2 linked regions of the Xenopus tropicalis genome follow. The protein of the gene in region 2 interacts with the protein of the main gene of each other region in a pairwise test. Links are inferred from orthologs where the notes say so. Each region holds a gene or a part of one and is shown on either strand. Other genes may lie near its edges.

Region 1 (4,894 bases), on a different chromosome or scaffold from region 2:
TAAATACCAGCAGAAAGGTTTCACTGAGAAACCATGAAAAAGTGCCTCAAGGTACCAGGGCAGCAAGTCACGAAAATGACTTCTCCACATGACTGAAGATACATATCCATCTTTAAAGGGGACAAGTTTTTGAAATATGCACATTCATTTGGGCTTGTTTAAAATCACATGTATAATCACTACGTGAACTGCAAAAAAAAAAAAAATATATATAAACCCATTTGTTTTACATAGACATACACTATTCCACAGATATAGAGAAAACACAATGACCTGCTTCTGACTCACACAGTCCACTGCCCACCCCCAGTTAGGCTGACAGTCATTCAACCCCTCGCTCATATTGTACTGTGGTGAAGTGATGGATTTATAGAGTTGAAGTTCCTCTGCTTTCCACAGTGGCCACTGCATAGATCCTTTAAAAAGCAACTTCAAGTCCCAGGGGTTGAATGACTCTGCCAGGCTAAAGCTGGCCGTATACACACCGATAAAAACGAGATTTTGTAAGATTTTTGGACCATGTGTGGGCTCTGAATTATCGTCCCAATCATTTTCTTACTATGGTGATTGGTCATTTAGCCAATCGGTCAGGTTAAAAATTTTGGTCGGCTAACATGCATGTTTTGTGTATCGGACAATATCCTTGGGGGACCTACAATGGAACTTTTGTAGGTTTGGTGTCTGCAACTATTTCATGTTCAGAACATCCTCCGATGTATTATTGTCATATTTTATAACTCTTCTTTCTATTCAGGCCCTTTCCTATTTATAACCCAATGTCTCACTCACACCACTACTTGGTTGCTAAGGTAATTTGGATCCTAGCAACCAGACAGCTGCTAAAACAAAAAGCAAAATAATTCAAAAACCCCACATAAAAAAAATGAAGACCAATTGCAAATTGTTTCAGAACAGCACACTCTACATCATAATAAACGTTAATTTTAAGGTAAACATCCCCTTGAAATGTATGACTGACATCCAAACTTCGTCGGAAAAAGACTAAAATCTGAACATGTACGGCCACCTTAAGGGGTGGGGAAATGGTCCCTATGAGTCACAGGAGATAATTATGGCTCTCAGTCTGAGGAATTGTTTATGTTTTACTTAAGCCCAATGATGCTATAATGGTGGAAAAAATGATCTGAATACACTGAGTATGAACACTGGATCATTGCTTTTCTTTTCAGTTTACTGGAAAGTGTACTATTTTGCAGGCCTGGACTGGCAATCTGTGGATTCTGGCTAGTGCTAGAGGTAGTGCTCTAAGATGCCATAGCCCCCCACTGCCCACTAAATAGTGACTGACCGTTTGGCCCTCTGTGTACTTGAAATTCCAGGGCCTATTTTGAACACCAGTGAGGACTTGCTACTTTGCAATTTATAAGCAGCACTTTCCAAATTATGGCATAGGGTTTGGGATTTAAAATAATACTGGTACACACACATTCTGTAAACTGCGCAACAGGATTAGGGACTCCTGCAGTACAGATGGGCTAGTTGTGACAGGCTCAAAGTCCCAATTTAGAAACCCGAGAATGTTAGCAGAATGTTTGTATGAAATATTCAATAATCTGCAATTCATAGAGGAAGGTATGTCAGCCTGACTGGTACATGAAAGTTCCACCTTGTAAACTCTATCACACTATAGCTGTTACTATTGGACAATGTCACAGATTTCAGTATTTCTTCTTTATGCCTTTTAGTTAGACTAAATGAATTGGTTTAACATTGTCTAGCCCTTTAAAGGGGCAGAATACATATAGAAAAATAGTATATACATACACAAAGACCTTTTTTTCAATAGGAGCAGAATTAATAGAACTTGTGCTGAAATTACATTCTGTGTATTCTAAACTGCAAAGGAATCATGCCAAATAGATTTATGCTGCTGTTAAAGAAGCATCTAAAGAACTAACAAAAAAAAGTCACTAATTTTATTTGCACAGGCCTATAGTAGCCATGTCCAGCTAAGGTTAAAGCCCTTTCCACTCAGCAGTGGTACTTACCTTCCAGGTACCAGAGTGCCTAGCCCCAACTGCACATTCCCCTTGCTCTGGGCTAGGAGGAGGAGGTGTTAGACTAAATAAAGGAGCCAGAAAGGCAATTTAGGGGCAAACAGAGGGCTATACCTACATAGGGCTTCTGTTCTTAAAGCAGTACAGTTGTACAGTTGAATAATTTCACACAAGAGGCTTTCACTGTCCCAATGTTAGAAATGGAAAATCTTGAAACGTTTTCAAGGAAAAAACTCAGAAAAGTCCAGTTGTTTTAGACTTAATTCTACTAGATACTGTATATCATGACCTGGATGAATGAGAATCTTCATAGACATATTGCAAACAACATATTTTCCGTAAATGGTAGATCTCTCATTTTAACAAGAGGAATCATAATTATAGTGATTTTGTTTAATAACAGATGATTCAACCAATTTATTGTGTCCAAATGCCAACAATGTTAGGGCTAGCTGATAGGAAATATGTAATAGGCAAAATAATAATACAATGATAATATGGCTCAGCTTAATGCGATCATCGAGCCCCATGTGTTGCTAAATACCTGTACCCACAAACACACCATGATACTCTCACCCTGCTGCTGCGGCCGGATACAGCTCCCTGCATAGCAAACTTTCCAGCTCCAACCCACACACACATCTGTAGCAGCTGCCATCTTTGCGCTACCGGCGCACACTTGCACACACATACACAACCCAGTATGTATACACGGACAGAAACATTACAGCCAAGCAAGCGTATCGGTAAGAAAGAGCGATTGCTTCTAACACAGAGCAAGTGACATCACTCGTTCCCGTGCAGTTCGCCAGCTGCGGCCGGACTACAACTCCCAGCATTCCTCATCTTCATCCACAGCTGGAAAGCAGCGGTTCATAGTTCGAAGTGTGAAAACTTTATAGAGTAAACGTGGAAAGCGATCCTTGGGTGAGGGGAGACAGGCACGTACCTCAAATTTGACAGAAATGGTCCCTTGAATCTGTCTAATACCAGAGGAGAACGCAACGACAAGCTTCAGACAAGCAGATCCAAGTTAGGCACACTAAAGCTAGGGACTGTACTCCCACAACTCTGGAAACATACGGAGAAAAACTTGCAGCGGGCGTGGCTTACGAGGCACCGCCCTATCCCGCTGTTAAACTGAGGGGCGCGACGCTGGCCCGGAAGCGCTGAGAGTACACCGTGTGCGTGTTCCAAGCAAGGAGCCCGAGTTCCCCAACGCTGCGCTGCTCCTCCCCTTATAGTACGCTTTCTTTGCCATGAAATAGCGAAACTTTTTCACCGGAAGTAAGTGTGCTTCTGTTTTGGAGTAGTTTCAGTTCTCACGAAGGTGAAGGTTATGTGCATAGAGTTTCCAGCCCAGCCAGCTGTCCCAGGTTTCGCAGGACAGAGCTTATTGTCTCTGTTTGCTCAGGCGAGTTTGTATTCCTTGAGGGGTGCAGGCAGCTGCACTGTTGTGCCATACTGTAGTCATACTATAGTCATACTGTGGTCATACTTGGCCTGATTTGGTCAGTGTGCTGATTTCATACACCCTGCCTACCATCATCTGGGCATGTATGCTGGTTCTGGGGCAGTTTACTCTGAAGCCAGCATGTTGGATCGCTGGTGATCGGACACTAAGGGGCGTATTTATTATGCTGTATAAAACTTAATTCGGCGAAAAAAAGCTGTGTAAAATAAATGGAAAAGATCACCATCTGAACGCCGGATATTACGCCATTATTTTCCATAAGTTCCGGTGGAAAAAAAATGCGTAAAAGAATTACGCCGTTTTTACGCCATTTTTACATGGCGATGTGTGACAAATTTTCTCTATAATAAATATGCCCCTAAGCTGCGGCCTGCACAGTTCCACTTCTCACCATATGATGACCGGAAAGGGAAAGTCTTTCTAAAAATGGAATAAACACCAATGAGGTATGGTGTACAGGCAAACTGTAGGTTCTGGCAAATGCCAGGAGGACTATTGTCAATTTTTAACGGACAGTCACAGTGTTTTGGGGCTGATTGGGCTTCTGTGTACTTGAAATGCCAGGGCCTAATGATGTGCTGGTAATAATAGTATATCTGTAATTTGTAGCACAGACTCATCCTAAGGCACTGCACCCAGGATCCTGTTGGTGGGAACCTCTGAAGCTGCAAAGGGTGCCATATGGAACCTTTCTCATAGCACCCTATGCAGCTTCAGAGGTCAAACTCAGATGATGGCCAAACTGGCATAATAAACATTGCATATCACCCTCTGTCCATTCAAAGAAACGATAATATGGCAGCTTTGGCCTGTGTATGAAACTGGTGGTAGATCAATGGAATGCATTGTAATTTGTACACTGCTCTTTCATTGTCAGTGGGTACGCACTGCAACATTCTTGCACAGGACATGATTTACACTAAGGACACAGTCCCACGTGGTGTCCTGTCCTCTTTCTCTTGTGTTTTGTAGGCAAGAGGAGAGATAGGGGGTCCCTATACCTGCCTGTATGTTGCTTCACAAACTGGCACAGTGTTAGCCTGAGTGCAGCTAAACAGAACAGAGATCACCCCCCAAAAATGCGAGCATGCATTTTTAGGCGGTTTCTACTAGTTTATTTAATGCAGTGCCGGTGTCCTTGCAAGAATGGACTGTGGACAGTTGTGACCTTAAAAAACTGCTCCTTTTTATTAAAAATATTATTTGTCTTCGGTACAGAAATCTCAAGACTGTTTTCCCTGTCTTTCTCAAGATGCATTTGAAAATAGAGCACATTAAAACACTAGTGAGCACTTGTATGTGTGTACCTTGGTATGAATGAATGATGTCGAAAGGACCATAAACCCCCTTATAGCACTGATCAGCAGTACTGGATAAATGAAATCACCACTTCTTCCATAAA
Region 2 (5,004 bases):
TTACAGATACATCCATAAATGTGAAACTATATTCCACCAACATAAGAAAAAAAACATTTCTAGCATAGAATGTCATAAAAAAGAGAACAGTTAAACAACTGTGGATTTGTGTAGGCAATTAATTTATTCCAATTTAATGCCAGCTTAACACCACTTTTGTTGAATCCCCCAAGTAAAGAACTCATTAATTCATATGAGGAATATAGATTTATAAAAATAAATGTCAAAAACCTAGCTAAAAATTAAAGAATATCAAAGACAGCAAATAATAAGTCACCCCAATTTTCTTCCAAGATGGCACTTAGATTGTAAGCTCTACGGGGCAGGGACCTCCTTCCTACTGTGTCTCATACCACATGGCACCTACTCCCTGTGCATTTATACTTATTTATTGTATTTATTATAACACTCGTCTTTCTTGTGTGTAATTTTGTATATTGTAAGATTGCACAGTGCTGTGTACCCTTGTGTCGCTTTATAAATAAAGTTATACATACATTATACATACTTTTCTGTTTTAATTGGTTTCTGTGATATTAGTCTAATTGGTTCACAGTTTAAGGCTGATGCCAGACGTGGTGTTTTTACGCTGCGTATTTTCTCCGCCTAAAAACGCCGCACAAGCCACACAGCCCCTGACTATGGCATTTTTCAGCCTAGTACTGGTGACGTAGCAAATCCTGGTTCCCATGGAGCTAATAGTGCAAAATAGTAAAAAACGCTGCGTATTTCCGCTAGGTCTGGAAGCTGCCTTTGTGTATACATAGGAATAAGTTGCTGTGCAAATAACGGCGTATTTCGGCAAACGCATGAGAAGTCGTATTTATGTATTTGCGTATTTACACATAGTGTGTTTTCTATGGATGATGATATTGTGCGTTTTTCAGCCGCTGAGTGAATTAGAATTTACAGTGTAAAAACGCCACATCTGGCATCAGCCTTATACTGCTAGGCAGATTTCAGCTCAACGGTTATTAAAGGCCTATAGTGTCAGAAACTCTGTCTATTATCTTTACACTGCCTGAAGTCATTTAACCCTTGGCTTGCTGACTCCCAGTTGATCTGAATGCAGGTGGCAAAAAGCTGCCTCTGCTAACTTTAGAAGCTTTCATTTTTTAAAACAGATGCCACAAATTTGGCACTGCCTAATGCAAATATATCAAAAGCCTCTAAAAATAAAAAAAATGAATGTAAATTGCAAAAGCGCTTGGGAAACAACGCTACATCAGTTTATTTTGGGGTTTAGTCCCCCTTTAACAGTTACTTTGGAACTATTTTGGAAGGCAGCAGGAAATGATTATATATGAAGTGATGTTAAAAGCAAAAGTATTAATACCCAAATAATCATTTAAATGGTTATTACTTATACCACCACTAACTGACTATGCTTACTGGATTCACACAATCCCGGAAACACGATTTGTTTCAGAGCTTCGGGTTACCCAAATTATGGAAAAAAAAGACCAGAAAAATAATAATAGGTTTACGTTGAAGTCCTGCACATAAAGGCACGTTAACCTCACCTAAATTCACAGAGATACAGCTAAACGCTAACACTCTCACAGCACTTGTTCCCTGAACCGCCTTCACCTGCTCGAAGAGGACACGCCCTTCGATGTGATTGGGTTTTGAACATGTGACACTTCCCCCCCCCCCTGCAGTCCAGCCGGTGCGCCCGCATACGGCTCAGACCCTGTAGATTATCTGTTTGTCCCCAGTACCTGGACCTTGCTCCATAGCCATGCCTTCTATCAAGGAGCGCCTCCAGAACTTTCTGAATGGAGACAACTTCGTATCCCGGTTATTGGGGAAGGCTGAGGAGAAAACTGGGATCAAAAAGTATTATCTTGCTTCGGGTGAGCTAGCTATTATTCGGGGCTATGACAGGAGTTCTGTATCTGCTAACAGGTGGACGTGTAATTAGACGGCATGCTCAGGACAGGGTTAAAAGGGGCTTCCGTCTCAGTGTTCCTGTATTTGTATAGAGAGTTGTTTAAATGACAACTACCCTTCTAGCTTGTGATTTAAACGTGATCATTCAGTGCGACGAAGAAGGAGTAGATAGTTCCACTGTGATTGCGTGTGGCATCGTGTATATGGCTACATTCAATACAAAAAAGTAAGAGGGGTTGCTAATAAGTGGGGCACTAAGCCATTGAATAGAACGTGTGAGGCTGCTGGAGCCAGACAGGGGGATTATGTCGCTGCATTAGCTTTACGTCCCAGACCACGTTCTGCAGGAATCCATGCTGAGAAGCCGAGGTCAAGTTGCAAGATTTCAGTAGCCTCACATGTGGCCCCTATTTATGACTGCTGCACATTGTATTTTATGTTGGTGAAAAATAATACCACATTCCATCTGCTTGGGTACTAGTCGTTCTTGTATAATCGTTATGGTTAATAAGTGATCTGCTTTGGGTGCTGTTACAGCCACATCTACATATCTGGCCTGTCATGTGCCTTATCATTTTCTTATGCTGTCTGTGAATAAGAGTATCCTAATGTGAAGGTCACAGCATGCCACCCATTGGCCACCTTTTAAGACACTGATATAAAGAGCAACATTTCCCTTCCTTACTCTAGGGAGCTCACTAAATATGTAAATGTATATAGATTGTAAGCTCTATGGGGCAGGGACCTCCATCCGCTTGTGTCTTTGACTCTTAACTTATTGCAACTGTAACTGTATCTTGTATATATTTGTATTTATTGTTATACTTTGTATTTATCTATTATCTTAGTAACCCCCTGTTTGTATTAATGTATTCTACTGTACAGCGCTGCGTACATAAGTAGTGTTTTATAAATAAAGATATACATACAAATGTTCATTCTTTTTTTTATTACAATGCTTTTCTTCCTAGGTTCCATCTGCTCCCTAGGGCTGTACCTTATATTTGGCTATGGGGCTTCTCTTGTCTGCAATCTGATTGGCTTTGTGTACCCAGCCTATGTTTCGTAAGTATCCGGATTTATTCCTCAGCAGTGAATGAGATTAGAGTGTCTTCTGGATGGGGGAAGGAAAAGTAGATTAAAGTGTTTGTACCTGTTGGAGAATGTTTCTCCTGTTAAGAGGCAGATTTATCAATGTGTGAGATTAGAGTTTACCACAGAAAAAATGACATACTTTCTATTCATTCCCACGGGATTTTTAAAAGTGTATTTATCAAATGGCAAGCTTTAATTTTCTCCCGTTTATAAAAACACTTGGGAATGAATAGAAAGTGGGTGAATTTTTCTGTGGTGAGCTGTAATCTCACACCTAGGTAAATCTGCTCCTTAGTGTTTTGACACTTTGTTGCTAATACTATACTAATGTAAAATCTACAATTTCTCATTTTGTCTTGTAGGGTTAAAGCTATTGAAAGCCCAGATAAAAAAGATGACACAATATGGCTGACATACTGGGTGGTATATGGCGTGTTCAGTGTAGTGGAATTTTTCTCTGACATATTTCTCTTCTGGTTTCCATTTTACTACCTGGGCAAGGTCAGTAGTTAAGGGACAGGTGAAAGTGCTAAAAATATTCATTTTGAGTTTGTCATTTGCCAAAAGAAAGGTGAGAATGCTTTAAAAAATTTGCTTGAACTTTTCCCCTTCTCTGATTTATAATTTTTACATCTAATCCTGCAATCCTGTAATCCTGTGGGATCACAGATCTGGTATGTTTGAAAGTTTCATCTTGGTGAGTTATAACCTGGAATATATGTCCAGGTAGTTGGTCAGTAAGGGGAAAAAGCAGACACATTGCCGGACCAGTTTTTGACATGTTTGGCTAGCTATAGCTTCTCTTAAGAAAGAGAATGTTTTTAAGTATTGAACAGTCACCTCAAATCACATGCTAGTAATTCATATATTAATCTATAAAGCTTCTGCATTTATTTAGAGCCTATCTCACCTCTGTGTATTGGTGAACTGCTCTGAGAGCCTTTTTTTTTTATTGAAATTCAGTGTTTTATAATGAATACTTCATTATGCTGGCACAGTCCAGTCTTGCTTTTGAGGGGTGTAAATAATTGAAATAATAATAACCTATTATGATAATAGTTGATAATGCCAACAACAGTATGACTTTATCTTGCATTTAGATGCAAGATCTGTATTCAGAAATTTAGAATCCCAGTTAGGTTTTATTGCATCAAATGCTAATTACAAGACTGAAATTTATTTTTACATTGTTTACCATAGATATTGATCAAGTCTGCCTTACTTGCTTCCTTCTAATCAGTGTGTCAATGGGTTTCTCTACAGTGTTGCTTCTTACTTTGGTGTATGGCTCCATTTTCATGGAATGGCTCTCAGATTCTATATGACCGGTTCATCCGCCCATTTTTCCTGAAGCACCATCGAACGGTGGACAGCGTTGTTAGTGACCTTGGAGGACAGGCTCTAAACACAGCTGAATCTGTCACTAGAGGAGGTACACATTCTGGTTGCTATATTTATTTCCCTTTTGACATCCTAGGCACCTTAAATTCACATTCTCTCTTCTTGTATTAATGCTACAGTCCTGCATACCTTGACCAGCAGCAGAACCCTTCTGGCACGTGAGGGAGGCCAGCAAGCTCTCCCCAGCACCTCTGTATGTAAACAAACTAGCAAGAGGAGGAGAGCTCAGCTTGAGCTTATAGTTGTTTTTTGTGTTAGGTTTTGCTCACTGTGTTGATGAAAGGGGCATAATTATCAAAGGGTTCCAGTACAGATCACTGCAGGCATATTTCATTACTCATTTTCTCTTGTACAGGATTTTTTAGGGGCCTAAGATTGAACTCATACATTTTGCCTCTGATAAACAGGCCCTGAATAATCCTACACAATTAAATATAATGATATGAACTTTGTCACTGGTGAACTATGGTAAGCATTGTTTCACCATTTGATAAATATGTCAGAACGAGTCAAAGATTAAAAAAAAACCAGGATGGTATCTTGCACTCTGGTCAGAATGAAAGGAAATTAAGAAAAAAAGTTAATATAGTTGAGTAGTGGTTAACTGTGCTCCAC

The links. The genes of interacting proteins can lie anywhere in the genome.
Region 1: the proteins of reep6 (region 2) and litaf interact in binary tests that used the Homo sapiens proteins (3 or more experiments, as listed by UniProt). The two-hybrid records come from large-scale screens. The link is inferred for Xenopus tropicalis from reciprocal best matches to the Homo sapiens genes REEP6 and LITAF.

Annotation. Positions count from the first base shown.
Region 1 is NC_030685.2:36,369,878-36,374,771, reverse strand, and holds the start of litaf (lipopolysaccharide-induced tumor necrosis factor-alpha factor homolog), read right to left. Parts: upstream 3,095-4,894; 5' UTR 2,968-3,094; intron 1-2,967.
Region 2 is NC_030677.2:99,404,144-99,409,147, forward strand, and holds the start of reep6 (receptor expression-enhancing protein 6), read left to right. Parts: upstream 1-1,707; 5' UTR 1,708-1,741; coding exon 1,742-1,856; intron 1,857-2,864; coding exon 2,865-2,958; intron 2,959-3,350; coding exon 3,351-3,489; intron 3,490-4,251; coding exon 4,252-4,420; intron 4,421-4,508; coding exon 4,509-4,582; intron 4,583-5,004. UniProt on the Homo sapiens protein: Required for correct function and survival of retinal photoreceptors. Required for retinal development.